Linked DNA regions of Nothobranchius furzeri. The protein of the gene in region 1 interacts with the protein of each later gene in a biochemical or structural test. Links are inferred from orthologs where the notes say so. Each region holds a gene or a part of one and is shown in the gene's direction. Other genes may lie near its edges.

Region 1 (7,902 bases):
CTGTTAGCATTAGCAACTCCACCACACAGCAGAACTCTCCAGGCTTGTGTTATTTGTAGAGATCAACATTGCATAGTAAACAGAGTCAGTGGTAGAGTTGTGTTGCTGTTAGCCAATCAGAGGAGAGATGTCCACATATCAGGAAAAGACTCCAGATGCTGCCATCTGAAGCTTCTAGAGACCACTGCAAATGTATGTGTGGCATAAAAATCGACTGACGTTTTATCCAAAACCAGCAACGCCACCTTGGGAATTTCACCCAAGGACTTAGTTTGAAATGACTGTAAGGCACTTGGGTTCGTTTTTGCCCAAGTAGTTGTGGCTTCAGATTGTTAAAACCATTTATTACAACAGAAATTGGAATAATACCCATTAAAAATGACCTAAATCAGTTTAGGACTGACTTTAATGCCCTGGTAAAAACCTCCGAGGTTTACCAGTGGGGCAGGGCTAACCACAGGCCAGTGACAACACCACCCACCACCATGTCACCTGCTGTGGACACACACAGAGAGCATGTGATAAACTTCCACTGTTATGCTGACGTTACTCAGTTATATCTATCCATTAACCCTGATGAACCTAATCAGTTAGTTAGATTACAGGCTTGTCTTGATGGCATAAAAAGTTGGATGACTCAAAACTTTCTGCTTTTAAATCAAGACAAGATAGAAGTTCTAATCTTTGGACCCGAAATTCAGAAAAGGAAACTGCTTAATCAATCACCTGACCTGAACGGCATTAAAATAGTCTCCGAGAACAAAGTAAGGTACCTTGGTGTTATCTTCGACCAGGACATGTCATTCAAATCCCACGTTAAACAGGTTTGTAGGATTTCCGTTTTCCACCTTCGGAATATTGCTAAGATTAGAAGCATCCTTTCCAGTAGTGATACTGAAAAACTAGTTCATGCATTTATTACATCAAGACTGGATTACTGTAATTCATAACTCTCGGGAAGTCCACAGAATGTAGTTAAAAATCTTCAGCTTGTCCAAAATGCTGCAGCTAGAGTTCTGATGAGAATTAAAAAGAGAGATCATATCTCTCCTGTCCTAGCTTTCCTACATTGGCTATCTGTTAAATTCAGAATAGCCTTTAAGATCCTCCTTCTCACACATAAAGCTCTTAATAATAAAGCTCCATCATACATTAGTGATCTGATTGTTCCATACGTTCCTAACCGAGTACTTTGCTCTCAGAGTGCAGGTTTACTGGTGGTTCCCAGAATATCTAAAAATAGGATGGGAGGCAGATATTTTAGCTATCAGGCTCCTCTCTTGTGGAACCAGCTCCCAGCTTTAGTCCGTGAGGCAGACACCGTCTCTACTTTTAAGACTAGGCTAGGTTATCCAGAGTTATCTCTGTAGATATGCTGCTATAGGCTTAGAATGCTGGAGGACATACTGACCACTTTCCACACTCTACTACTTTCTTCTACAATCTGCTCTTTAACTGCATTATTTCCTGCTATTTCAGCTGTTAACTTTATTTTTACTCTTAAGTGTTTTCCTCCCCAGAAGAAGCTACAATGATGTTCTGCTGAGCTGTAGTGGCCTCATGGAGGGGGCCATTGGCTAGCACACTGCTGCTAACCACTTCTCCCTCTCCTGACAATAACATTTTACTCTCTTTGACATTGAATGTGCTACTCCTAGTTTACCAGATTAATTATAGATTCACTAGGATAAATACAATAAAGTTTATCTCACCAAATAGAATGTTTACTAAGAAACACAAAATTCCTGTTAAAAGGGAGTTTTTCTCTGCACTGTCGCTGCATTCTTAGTATGAGGTGACTCGATGCAACCTGCTGGGTTCCTTAAATAGGAAACTTTTTACTGATTGGCTTAATGACCTGACCTGTATTGGAATGTTTACTGTGTGAAGGTCCTTGAGACGACTCTGGTCCTGATTTGATGCTTTATAAATAAACTTGAATTGAATTGTAGAGCGCCATGTTCTTTCCAATTTTCTAGAGTTTTGTTTTAAAGTTTGTAAATCAGAATTAAACCAGGGAGCCAACTTCCTGTGCTTAATTACCTTTTTTAAAGGGGCAACATCATCTAATGCCACACGTAAAGAAGTAACATTATGAACTAAATCATCAATTTGTGAGGGGCTAGAAATGAAAATATTGCCCTCTGCTACAGTCCTCTGAGATGCTGAGGACAGTAAAGATGGAATAATTGATTTAAAAGATGCAACAGCCTTGTCAGATAAAGACAGACTATAGTGAAATTTACTTTCATGTCTCTAGAACTCAGTTATAAAAAAACTCAAAGGTGATCAAAAAGTGGTCCGAGAGGACTGGATTATGTGGAAATATCGTTATTTTCCTCACACTCTATGCCATAAATCAGCACAAGGTTTAATGTATGATGCCAGGAGTGGGTGGAGCTATGCATTCTTTGGGTAAAACCAGTATATTACTAAAGGCTACACTGAGGCTATCATTTTCAATGTCCACATGAATGTTAAAATCCCCCACTACCATGACCTTATCAGTATTTAGCACCAAATCAGATAAAAATCAGAGATCTGATCCAGAGACGGCCTCAATTTTACTGACAGGAACTGAATAACTTTTCTGAATATTAAATGACAACTTGGCTTGCCTCACTCACCTCCATAAGGCAGCGGATGACGTCAGCGCGTCAGATTACTGGCTTTGTTTGTACGGAGCTGCTGCGGAGCTTCAGACCGAGCCATCTGAAACCCTCCCAGGGCCGTTTTCATCACCTTCTTTCGCCTGAAGCCGCTGCCGGGATGCCGTCGGACCGACCGTTCAAGCAGCGGAGAACGTTCGGTAAGACGGTGCTGTCTACAGCTAGCGTTAGTGCGTTTCAATGCGTAGGTTCACACCGGATTTAACGTGTTTACATGTGTTGATGGTCGGTCTGTAGCTTCACGGTAAACGGGGTCAATGTGACGCCGCAGCCTTTACACAACCGGATCAGCTCCGTGACCCACCGCGAGGCCAAAACAACAAGTTGTGCTGAAACATGACCCCTACACGTATTCTCTGATTAAATCGGTCACCTGACAGGAGGGGAGGAGTCTGGCAGTGACCCGCTCACCTGAACGGACCAGCTGTCAGTGTCAGAAACATGAATATCAAAGCAAGGTGAGAACTATGTAGATGAACACCTGGAACGGGTTGATAGAAAGCTCTAAAACTGGAGTTTCACCTGGAACACCCTAACATCTCTGACTGGAACCACAGGATGATGTCATCAGGAAGAGACCCATCCGGCCAATGGCGAAAATGATAACCACGATTATTTTGGTTGATGCAAATATATCGCGGGATCAGGTCGCGAGGCAGTAGTCTAAGCAGGGAGGCCCAAGCTTGAAATCAGGTGTGTTGAAACTGGGAAAACACTAAAACATGTGGGATAGTGGGCCTTGAGGACCAGAGTTTGACACCCATGCTAAGGTCCAGAACGTGGTTATGATGGTTTCATTTAGAAATGAGTTTCATCCATCCTCTTCCGTTTATCTGGAATCTGGTCATGGGGGGCAGCAGCCTAAGCAGGGAGCCCAGACTTCCCTCTCCCCAGCCACTTGGGCCAGCTTCTCCGGGGAATCCCAAGGCGTTCCCTGGCCAGCTGAGAAACATAGTCCCCTCAGTGTGTCCTGGGTCTTCCTTTAGGTCTTCTCCCAGTTGGATGTGCCTGGATAACCTCACCAGGGAGGCGTCCAGGAGGCACCCCAACTAGAAGCCCGGGCCACTTCAACCGGCTCCTCTCGATGTGGAGGAGAGGCGGGTCTAGTCCGAGCTCCTCCCGGATGACTGAGCTTCTCACCCTATCTATAATTCCGTTTATTTATAAAGCGCCAAATCCCGACAAGTCCTCTTAAGGCGCTTCTCAAAGTAAACATTCCAATAGTTCAGTTCATTAATGCAATCAGTAAAAAGTTTCCTATATAAGTAACCCAGCAGGTTGCATCGAGTCACTGACTTGTGTCAGAGACTTCACAGGAAGAAACCTCCAGAGGATCCTGGATCAGCATAAGCAGCCATCTGCAGTGACACACGGAGTCGAAAGCCTACCATCCAAAATGGCTGCAATATGGCCACCAATCCAAAACACATCTTCTCTTGTTGCTGTAAACTTCCTAATCTCATCATGCTGTCTATTTGTTTTGTCGACAGCTGATCGATGCAAAGAGGTCCAGCAGATCCGAGAGCAGCACCCAAACAAGATCCCTGTAAGCTGCACACGCACGAACCTGGGGGGTAGTCCACAAAGCGAGTTTAGAACATCGATGCCTTCCTGATAAATGCCTGCCTAACAAAGTGCATCTGTGCACTCAAGGATCTGTCGGTTCCACCGACTATGCTCAGGTGGATTCAGTTCTCTTTAATTCAAGTGAACCTCACAGGCAGCCTCTGTTAATTGATGCTGGATAACTGAGAAGGGAAGCAAAGTGTTTTGCTCTTCTCTTAGACGGAACATTCATGCCCACGAGGACTATCTGAACTAAAACAGAGACCGCCAGCTGCTTGGTTATAGCCATGTATCTGGCGCTATTTAAGCCGAGCTTATGCTTCTGAGTGTGCGTCGGTACCAAGGGATCAAGGCCGCTGGCTTTGCTCCAGCATGGAAGTACCAAAAATTACAGTTCCACCCTCATCCGCTAGGGGCTAGTACCAAAACAGAGCAAGTTCCCTTTGACTCCCATGTTAAAAAAGCCAGTTTCACAGCATAAATAAACACATTTACAGCCTGGTTCAAAAAGCCATTCTAGGTTTGACTGATCTTTCTAACATTTATGACAACTCTGAGGGGGTGAGTTATTTTATAACTCTTTGACTGTAATTAAATGCTTGAAATTATGAATAATTATTGAGCACCAGAGCTACAAGCTAGCTCTAGGAAAGGCCTCATGTTAATGGACGTTCGGCCATTTTGACTCTGAACTTTAGCTGTGTCCTCTGTGGGTTTGTGCTTGGATGTAAGGGACAGCAGCAGCTCAGGAGGTAGAGTGGGTTGTCCAGTAATCGGAAGGTTGCAGGTTCAATCCCGGCTCAGACCAGAGAATTCTGTCATTGTGTCCTTGGGCAACACACTTAACTCGCCTTGCTGGAGGTGGTCGGAGGGACCGGTGGCGCCTGTGTTCAGCAGCCTCGCCTCTGTCAGTGCGCCCCAGGGCAGCTTTAGCTACGATGTAGTTCATCACCACCAGCGTATGAATGGGTGAATGACTGTGTTGTGAAGCGCCTTGGGGGGTTGTAGAACCCTAAGGCACTATACAGATACAGGCTATTTACCATTTAATCATCGGATTATTTACCATACCATACCATACCAATTTTATTTATATAGCACATTTAAACACGGCATGAGAGCCGACCAAAGTGCTGAACAAAACACACAATAAAAACAATCAAAAATAAAAACTAAATCCATTAAAATCAAGTAATCCAACCCTAAAAGGAAAGGTAGAAAGGGAATAAGTTAGACAGAATTAAAAGCCAGAGAATAAAAGTGAGTTTTTAAACGAGACTTAAAAAGGGAAAGAGAGGAAGAGAGTCTGATCGGGAGGGGCAAGTGGTTCCAGAGCTTCGGTGCACAAACTGAAAAGGCGCGCTCCCCGCGGGACTTACAGCGAGAGCTAGGGACATGTAGGAGGTGTTGGTCAGCTGATCGGAGAGATCTTGTAGGGACATATGGGTGAATGAGCTCAGACAAGTAGCCAGGTGCTAAGTTATTTAGGGATTTAAACACAAAAACCAGGATCTTAAACTCTATCCGGAGATGGATGGGGAGCCAATGAAGATTTGCTAAAACCGGTGTGATGTGTTCCCGCTGCCTGGTGCCAGTCAAGAAACGAGCTGCTGCGTTCTGCACAAGCTGAAGTTGAGCGAGAGTGGAGGAGGAGATACCGTATAGCACTGAGTTAGAGTAGTCGAGACGGGAAGTAATAAATGCATGGACAACTGAATGAAGATGACGCCTTTTTAAAATGGGCTTAACTTTAGAGAGACGCCTCAGGTGGTAATAACAGATCTTAACTACCTGGTTGACATGAATGTCCATTTTTAGTTTAGCGTTCATCACAACCCCTAAGTTTGTGACACGGTTTTTCAACCCACTTGTGATAAATGGAAGGGTCAGTTGGGGACTTTGAGAAGTACCAGGGCTGAAAATGATGGCCTCTGTCTTAGCGTCGTTCAGCAAAAGAAAGTTTTCTGACAGCCAGCTCTTCACATCATTACAGCATTCAACAAGGGGCAGTAAGGAGTCATTAGGCTTCACAGAGGCATATAATTGGCAATCGTCTGCATAAAAATGGTAATCAATGTGGTGTTTTTTAAAAATGTCACCCAGGGGCAAAATATATAAATTAAATAAAAGGGGTCCAAGAATAGAGCCCTGGGGAACACCACAAGTCAAAGCCGCAGAGGGGGAGGCAGCACTACCCATCATAACATTAAAGGTGCGGTCACAGAAGTAGGACCTAAACCAGTCTAAGGCAGTCCCCTGGATTATTTGGACACAGAGGGCAAGCTGCGGTTGCTGACGGCACTAACAGGTCATCCAAGCAGTTTCTGCTTCTTTTTTATCAGCAAGTAAAATTATTTTTCTGTACTTTATTTCCCTGATTGAAGGGGGGGGGGGGGGGGGGGGGGCTGTGAATTTAACATAACACTGCTTGGTCAAGGATATTTGAGAGCTCTCCAACAGGCTTGCAAGGCACAGTCTGTTAAACGTCGTGGTTTCATGTGTGCAGGTGATCATCGAGCGGTATAAGGGTGAGAAACAGCTGCCAGTTTTGGACAAAACCAAGTTCCTGGTACCGGATCACGTCAACATGAGCGAGCTGGTGAAGATCATCAGGTAAACTGAAACCTGTCTGCCGAGTGGCCTGTTGGGAGGCTCAGCTTCTCTTGGATCATTAACATTGTCTAATATTTCTTATCTCTCATCATAAATTTGGGCAATTTTGATTACTTTTACTTCCCTGCATTTCCAGGGGGGTTCTGTAAAATCCCTTCTTATATATTGGAGAATTGTGTGCAATTTACCTCCGTAAACGTCTCTGGTTTTGGTAAATGAAAACTTTACCTCACAAAGTTATGAATCTACGCCATCAGTAAGCCGTTACCCCTCGTTTATTTTCTGGTTTGCTAGGCGTCGGCTGCAGCTCAACCCCACCCAGGCCTTCTTCCTGTTGGTCAACCAGCACAGCATGGTGTCGGTGTCCACCCCCATCTCTGAGATCTATGAGCAGGAGAGGGACGAGGACGGCTTCCTCTACATGGTCTACGCCTCGCAGGAGACCTTTGGCTGCTAGGAGGGAGGGGGCAGAGCATTTTCAGGTGGAGGGAAGACAGATGAAGATTTCACAGGAAAAACCAACATCCCCTCCTTAAGCCTAGATCACACTGTGCGATTTGCGGCAGATTGTTCATGTCGCATTGTGAGAATTCCAGAACTGTGCCACACGGCACGGAGCAAGATTCCTGTGAGGCAGACTGCATGACGTCTCGCTCCAGCAGGACACGCGGCGTCATGAGCGCAGACCACTAAGCAGACCGCTAGCCAAAAGAAAGCTGAAAAGATCAAATAAAGCACCGCGTTAACATTTCTTTATAGAGTCAGCTCATGACCCAGCGCAGCTTCCTGTGTCCCCCTGCAGCTAAACGCTACTGAACCATCCTTATTGGTTGAATATGTGAGATTTCCACCAACAGAAAAGGGGTTTTATGTTTTTGTTTTATTTTTTGTTCTTGTGAGCTGCTCTCGTCTCACTCTCACAAAATTAGATTTCACAATTCAGCTGATGGTCTAAAAATTAGTTTAATTATTTTTAGCTTAACTCCGGTTTAGCTTGGGCTATTAACAAAACTAAAAACTGGGGTGTCGTTTATAATCCGCATTTTAAACAAGT
Region 2 (7,777 bases), on another chromosome or scaffold:
TCCCACAGACCCCCTTAAATGAGGCAGCTAGCTAACATGCTACATTGCTCACCTTCTTGAGGTTCATTGGGTTGTGAGGGGACACCTGCTGACATATCACCAGCTGCTGATTCTGGTAGGGGCAAGGACGACAACCCATTTACCATAATTAGATGAAACATAGTTCCTCTCACTGTGGATATCAGAGCTAGCTAACAGGTTGAATTTAACCACTCACTAACTAAACCCACCTTTCTTTGAGAAAAACTGTGTGACATACTGACGCCCTCTCTTTTGCCTGTCCTCTTTCTCCTTTCTTTCTTTCCTTTTCTGTGACTGTTTTTGCAGACATATTTTTACTGCAGCCTTGGCGCACTCCGCTGTCTGACTGCGGCGTGAGCTGGCTTCGCCTGCTTTGTGCCCCTCGGCCACGTGGACTGTACCATTTTATGCCGTTGGAGGTGTGTGTGTGTGTGTGTGTGTGGGGGGGGGGGGGGGTCAAATTAATTAGTCAAAATAAAGTAGGGACGTCTGAATAAATTTACATTTCATGAAGACTAAAAGCTTGTTTGTTTAATGTCTTAAATGAGAAAAAATACTGCAAAGTAAAGTACTTGTGATTTTTAAACTCAGTTTTTTTTATTCAACTTTGAAACTTTTTGGGGCCCCTGACAGCGGTGGGCCCTAAGAATCTTCCTAATCTTTCACCGCTTTACGGCTTCCCTGATTGTGTTGTGTTCAGGGGCGGATTTAGCAATTTGGGGGCCCAAGGCGAACACAGACATGGGGCCCCTTACACTAAATTTTAGACAATCTTACCTTTAACTGGATTTGCAAAACTCCTCTTCTGACATGAGTTATTTTCCCGTTTTATTAGTCCTCCTCTTTTTTCCTGTATTTCCCACCCTATGAGTGCTTTCAATATTTGCTCTGCTTTCTTTTTTCTGTCAGTGCTCCTGTGCTTTTGCCTTAGTTTTTTTTTCCATTTTGGTCCATGTTTTCCTCCCTTGAAACATTTTCCATTGTCTTTCCTTTCTGCTTCCTTTTGATGTTTACATCAAAAAACGACGTCACTTTCAGAAGTGAAGATAAAAGCTTTTATGAAGCAAGCTGCTTCTTTCTCTTATTGGAGCCACTAGGATAACTCAGTTTAATGCTCAATGTTTTGACTATCGCTTTGAGTTTGTTACGAATGCTCCCGCCTCTCTTCTTATTCTTATTTGTGGTCTTATGGCACGTGGCAAACAACCATTTGGTGCATTACCGCCACCAACTGGATTGGAGTGGAATCACTACCAATCACTTCCTGTTTGTGCATCGCCGTCTTAATAACCCTCTTATGACCATAATTATAACAGGGCCGCCTGGTATTTTATTAATCTTATGGCTGTAAAATTGTAATAAAAAAGTTCAAAGTGTGTGTAATGCTCTCCTTTTTTTAGAACAACCTCAGCTTTTAGTGTATGGTTTGTATTTATAATTTATTTCTATTACAGCCTTTAAAAAATCAATTTAAAAGTGAAAAAAAGCAAAAAACGGATTTGATTTTTTTTTACAGTTATTACTGAACAGGAACTTCAAAATTACTGGGCAAACAATTTAAACTTTGAACTGCATCTATTCTTAATTTGAACCTTGGTATCTTTTTTTTTTTTTTTTGCAGTTTTTAAGACAATTTATTTGTAAACTTTCAGATGTTTTTATTTGATGTGGTAGGCCTTGAAGCAGTTTCTCTCCAGCTGCAGGCAGAGTCCTTCACACCTCACACTGCCATGGGGTGCTTCTCTGGCACACCGTGCACTGCTATACCAAAAACTTTTGTTTTAGCAAAAATAATTATTTATTGTAAAAAGATAAATAATGCTGTAATGAAGCTGAATCTTACAATTAGCAAATAGTTGAGGGTTGTTCAAATAAAAAAATAAAATATAAAGACTGAACAAACGTTCATATGTTCACTGGAGATCTGTCCTTCTTCATGGTCACTGTCTTCAGATATAAGCCTTCTGGGACACTTAATAGATCGTGTTGATTTTCTTTGAGGCATTTCCACAATTTCATGCTGGCTTTTATGCTAATTAGCTTCCCCGTTCCGATATCCGCTGTCACCGCGGCGCTGGAGTAAGACCCTCTCCAAACACGCCCCCATGTGCCTGTTGAGCTACCCCCGAGCTCAATAACGGCGGCCCTCCCAGCGGGCGGGGAGCATCCCGCTGTCAGCTCCAGCAGCTCCACACAATTGAAAGAATATGTTTATACAGAAATAGTAATAATACGCTCCGTTTCAATCCGGCTGTACAGAAGGATTTCCCCCCGTAGCGATATTTTCCATAACTCTGATTGCTTCATACTATAGATCGTTGAAAAGCTGCTTTTATGTACTTTTATGAACCGTTGGAATTTTTTGGATCTGATCAGCCATTCAAAAGTTGTAAAACGGAGCATTTTGGATGACAAACTCAGAACGTCTCTGAATCTTTGTTGTGATTCGTTGCGCTCAAGACAGGGAATCCCGGTGGCTACCGTAATGTATTGTATATGCACGAAAAGCCCCATTTTTAATCTTTTCATCACTTTTGGAATTTTAATGATATATTGAACGGTTCAGGGCTTATGGTAATGAGAAGCATGTCCAATCCCGTCTGCGGCCACAGGTTGGTAATAAGAGTATTGTGGCATTAACAGAGGGGTGCCAGCGGTCAGGGCTAGGGGGCCCCCCAACACAAGGGCCTACCTATGCCTAATGGTAAAACCGCCTCTGGTTGTGTTCAGCACCTTGGGCGTCTGCATTGGTCTTTATGAGTAAATGAAATGAAACGAATGAGAGCGGGCAGCAGAGGGTGACAACGTCCTCTGCTGCTCGCTGATAAACAGAGTAGGAAGTAATGCCACCATCAGCATCAGCTCATTTCTTTATAATTGAATAAAGTAGAAGAGACTCAGTAAAACAACAAAAAGAAAAAGCATTCTGCCTGAACAGAAGATCAGTAAAACCCTTTATTGTAATTATTGTGTTTGTTTATGTAAAACTCTTGTTAAACGGCAGAATATTGATGTTCACTGGGTTTTACGGCCAAAACATAGGAATCCTACATTTCCCATGGTACCACGCGCAATCGGAAATACGTCATCAGCGTGACCTTGGTCTAGCTCTTCCCATTTGCTTTTCTAACTTGCGGATAGAACAGCATGGCGAACCAAGAGCCCGGTGTAAGTCAGCTTTCTGTTTAAAATAGACGTTTGTGACGTCTTAACGGTCGGCTCGGTAGAACCGGTCCGTCGGTTCCGCCGTTTGCCATCTGCTTAGCGGTAGCAGCGTGTAACGTTGACACGTGAGTCCTGATGGAAGGTGATAGTGAAGCTGCACGGCGGGTGTAAATGAAGCTAATATGCTAAAAGAGCCGTTTTTGTACTTGTGTTATTCGGAGTCAAAATTTCGCCCTGAAATGCTGTAAATTTAGACACTTACGCGTGTTTCCAGCGGGTCACGCGGGTTTGTTTATTTCATTTATACTTTTTCAGAGGTTCCGTAAGTCCTTCATTAATTCAGCATGAAAATAAATTATGATAATCATTAAATAATCGGGACGCAACGCCTGTAAGTCAGCTGTACCTTAGACATTTTTAAGAAATCGCCTAATTTTGAGTTCCTAATAAGAAAAGTGAATTAGTCCTGTTCTCACGGGTGTAACAAAGATGTTCCAGTAAACAGACTTGAGCTTACCTAGTCAGGTCAAAGGTCAGGGGTGTTTTTTCAGGTTAACTTCTGTCTTATATTTAAACCTTCTCCACCCATGCAGCCTGTTTGGGTCAGAATCTGAACCTCCATCTTTATTTTCAGGGTTTTCTGCAGCAGCTGCGGCAGATCGCAGGCAGGATGTCCTCGGGACCCCGGGGTGCAGGAACAGGCCTCAAACTGCTGCTTGGAGCTGGAGCTCTGGCTTATGGATTGAAGGAGGCCACGTACACAGGTGATCTTCCCACACCTGGACCTCCAAACCTAACAGGAAAACCGATTAAAGCAACTAGTGCATATGAGTCGCCACGTTTGTTACAGGAAAGTTTGACTCTCTTTAAAGTTTAGTTTTTGATAGTTTCAGGACGATGAAACTAGCATTAAGCAATGCAGCTTGTTGTTGTTTACTTGACCATGTCTCCCTGCATTCTTCATGTTAACAAGTCAGGTGCTTTACTCCAGATAAACCTCTTTCTTTGTTTTAACTTTAGCTGCTGTTGAGTCAAATGCAAAATCAAAAGTTGTCCAAAAGCCTGGATTCATATAAAAAGCAACTAGGGAGCAGATAGACTGCAGGGTGGTTCTCAACTACTACAGCAGGGACTGAAGACCAAAGCTCCTGGTTGAACTCTGGTTACTGAGCAGTAACTGGAGTTTATCTTTCTAAATACGCAGAATTCCACTGAAGTGTTTGAGAAAGAGGAACGTAATTTTTCCAGATGACAGGAGTTTTGAGGTCCACATAGCAGGGGTGAGGTGGTGCTCACTCCTCACCCCTGCTATGTGGATCTCAAGGGATAAACCATCAATCCTGCTCGATGGTCGCCTTTCCTGGAGGGGTCACCTGATAGGAAAATGGGAGAGTTAGAACCAGTTAGAAGGCACAGTTTAGACACGGAGATCCAGTTAGAAGGTCCAGTTTAGACCCGGAGCACCAGTTAGAACCAGTTAGAAGGTCCAGTGGAAGGTCCAGTTCAGTCCCGGAGCTCCAGTTAGAACCAGTTAGGCCCAGTTTAGACCCGGAGCACCAGTTAGAATGTCCAGTTAGAACCAGTTGGAAGGTCCAGTTCAGTCCCAGAGCTCCAGTTAGAACCAGTTAGGCCCAGTTTAGACCCAGAGCTCCAGTTAGAACCAAAGTTCTTGTGTAAATCGTTGTTTCCCTTTCCTCCGTGTGCAGTCGAGGGAGGCCACCGAGCCGTCATCTTCAACCGGATCGGGGGCATGGAGATGAACACGGTGCTCTCTGAGGGACTCCACTTCAGGTGGGTTATCCTGGCAACCGCATCAGCAGCTCCTAGTGTGTCTGGTTCCAGAAACCATAGATACAGTTTGAATGTTAAATGCCTTCAAATAAGTGACTTTCCTTCACCTGTGTTCTTAAACCTTTTTTTTTTACATGTTATCAAACAAGAGCGGAGTCCGTCAAACCTGATTGGTTAATAAAGTGACAGATATGCACTCACCTAAAGGATCATTAGGAACACCTGTTCAACTTCTCCTTAATGCAATTATCTAATCAACCAATCACAAGGCAGTTGCTTCAATGCATTTAGGGGTGTGGTCCTGGTCAAGACAATCTCCTGAACTCAAAACTGAAGGTCAGAATGGGAAAGAAAGGTGATTTAAGCTATTTTGAGCACGGCATGGTTGTTGTTGCCAGACGGGCCGGTCTGAGTGTTTCACAATCTGCTCAGTTTCTGGGATTTTCACACACAACCATTTCTAGGGTTTACAAAGAATGGTGTGAAAAGGGAAAAACATCCAGTCTGCAACAGTCCTGTTGGCCAAAATGCCTTGTTGATGCTAGAGGTCCGAGGAGAATGGGCCGACTGATTCAAGCTGATAGAAGAGCAACTTTGACTGAAATAACCACTCGTTACAACTGAGGAATGCAGCAAAGCATTTGTGAAGCCACAACACGCACAACGTTGAGGCGGATGTGCTACAGCAGCAGAAGACCCCACCGGGTACCACTCATCTCCACTACAAATAGGAAAAAGGCTACAGTCTGCACAAGCTCACCAAAAGTGGACAGTTGAAGACTGGAAAAATGTTGCCTGGTCTGATGAGTCTCGATTTCTGTTGAGACATTCAAATGGTAGAGTCAGAATTTGGCGTAAGCAGAATGAGAACATGGATCCATCATGCCTTGTTACCACTGTGCAGGCTGGTGGTGGTGGTGTCATGGTGTGGGGGATGTTTTCTTTGCTCACTTTAGGCCCCTTGATGCCAACTGGGCATGGTTTAAATGCCACGGGCTACCTGAGCATTATTTCTGACCATGTCCATCCCTTCATGACCACCATGTACCCATCCTCTGATGGCTACTTCCAGCAGGATAATGCACCATGTCATAAAGCTCCACGGTCACCAGATCTCAACCTGATTGAGCCTCTTTGGGATGTGGTGGAACGGGAGCTTCGTGCCCTGGGTGTGCATCCCACACATCTCCATCAACTGCAAGATGCTATCCAATCAATACGGGCCAACATTTCTAAAGATGCTCTCAGCACCTTGTTGGATCAACGCCACATAGAATTAAGGCAGTTCTGACGGTCAGTGGGGTCCAACACCGTATTAGTATGGTGTTCCTGATAGTCCTTTAGGTGTGTGTAGTAACTCAGAACTTGCACTCGATGTGTTAATGATCCAACTGATCAGCTGATAAATAATTTAGGAACAAAAAATAAAAATTTTGTTTATTTTTTTGAAAAAACATAAATCTGATCATTTTTAAACGTCTATCTGAGAAGTTCTGACCGGTGTCGTCTGCAGGCTACCCTGGTTCCAGTACCCCATCATCTACGACATCCGAGCCCGACCCAGAAAGATCTCATCCCTCACTGGGAGCAAAGGTCAGGACCCGCCGTGGGAGACACGGCTTTTGCTGTAGCATCATTTTTATTATCAGGGTGGTTCTGGTCAGTTAAACAGATTATTGCTCTAAATATTGATTATTTAGTAAAGCTTCAGCTATAGAGACGCTCTCATTCTGGTTTCTGACCTGGTTTACAAACTAGAATAAAATGTTTTTGTTTTTTTTGATTAAATGAAATTTTGGTTTTGGGAGAGAGAACATTTGTGAAAGCTTTGCTGCTGTTGGAATAAAAACTATAATCTGATTTTTGATTGTCAGAGCGGCCGATGAGAGATTAGAACGTTGAGGAATTAACTGGTCAGAACCGACCCGGGTCCTGTAATGGTTCTGATGTGTTTGCCTCTTTCCCAGCAGCAGGTGTTCCTGTCATCTAGGGCTGCAACGATTTGCCGACGTTGTCGACAAATGTTGATAATAGAAATGGTTGACAATGAATTTCATTGTCGACGTTGTCGCCAGGCATGTTTTTTTCGAACCGAGTGAGGCATCTCACTTCAATACAATCTCTGCCGAGAGTCGTACATGCGCAATAGCTTCTCTACTGAGCGCCAACTAACTAACAGAAATGGTGGCGCCCAACACATCAGCTACGCGTACCAAAACATCTAAAGTTTAGGAGCATTCTAGCCCAGATTCGGCGAATAAAAAGATGACCTGCATTATTTGCAAAGCAGTCGTCGCGTAATACTGCAGCACCTCGAAGATGCATGAACACTTAAAGAAAAAGCACGTCGGACAGTTGAATGAAACAGACTGACTCACCTTTAAATAACAAAAGCCTGTACGTTTTGTTTTGGATGTAGATTGTGCAATTTTTTAAATGTATTTTTGCTTTTCAAAAAGGAGATTTAATGTTATGCCTGACTGCCTGACTAAAGTAATTACTGCCTAATTGGTGTTAGACAGGGCATTTTTATTTACTCTTAGTATGAACTGGCTTATCAGCAGCAAAGTTCAATAAAATATGCATTTTCCATTGAAGTACCCATCTTTCTTGTGTTTATCATTTTTCACACAATTAAAGCAATCTCATGCTAAATTTAAGAAAAATTTAATAATTATCCGATTAGTCGACTAATAGTTTCAATAGTCGGTGACTAGTCGACTACTAACATAGTCGTTAGTTGCAGCCCTACTGTTATCGTTGTTCTCCATCAGACAGGTTTAAAGTCCGTTTGACGGTT

The links. The genes of interacting proteins can lie anywhere in the genome.
Region 2: the proteins of microtubule-associated proteins 1A/1B light chain 3A (region 1) and prohibitin-2 form a complex in vitro, tested with the Homo sapiens proteins (2 studies listed by BioGRID). The link is inferred for Nothobranchius furzeri from reciprocal best matches to the Homo sapiens genes MAP1LC3A and PHB2.

The regions. Positions count from the first base shown.
Region 1 is NC_091743.1:78,248,201-78,256,102, reverse strand, and holds microtubule-associated proteins 1A/1B light chain 3A, read left to right. Parts: upstream 1-2,640; 5' UTR 2,641-2,643; coding exon 2,644-2,809; intron 2,810-4,159; coding exon 4,160-4,215; intron 4,216-6,741; coding exon 6,742-6,848; intron 6,849-7,142; coding exon 7,143-7,305; 3' UTR 7,306-7,563; downstream 7,564-7,902. UniProt on the Homo sapiens protein: Ubiquitin-like modifier involved in formation of autophagosomal vacuoles (autophagosomes). While LC3s are involved in elongation of the phagophore membrane, the GABARAP/GATE-16 subfamily is essential for a later stage in autophagosome maturation.
Region 2 is NC_091751.1:35,031,647-35,039,423, reverse strand, and holds the start of prohibitin-2, read left to right. Parts: upstream 1-3,092; 5' UTR 3,093-3,168; coding exon 3,169-3,189; intron 3,190-3,232; exon of another isoform or gene 3,233-3,311; intron 3,312-3,820; coding exon 3,821-3,950; intron 3,951-4,892; coding exon 4,893-4,977; intron 4,978-6,490; coding exon 6,491-6,570; intron 6,571-7,777.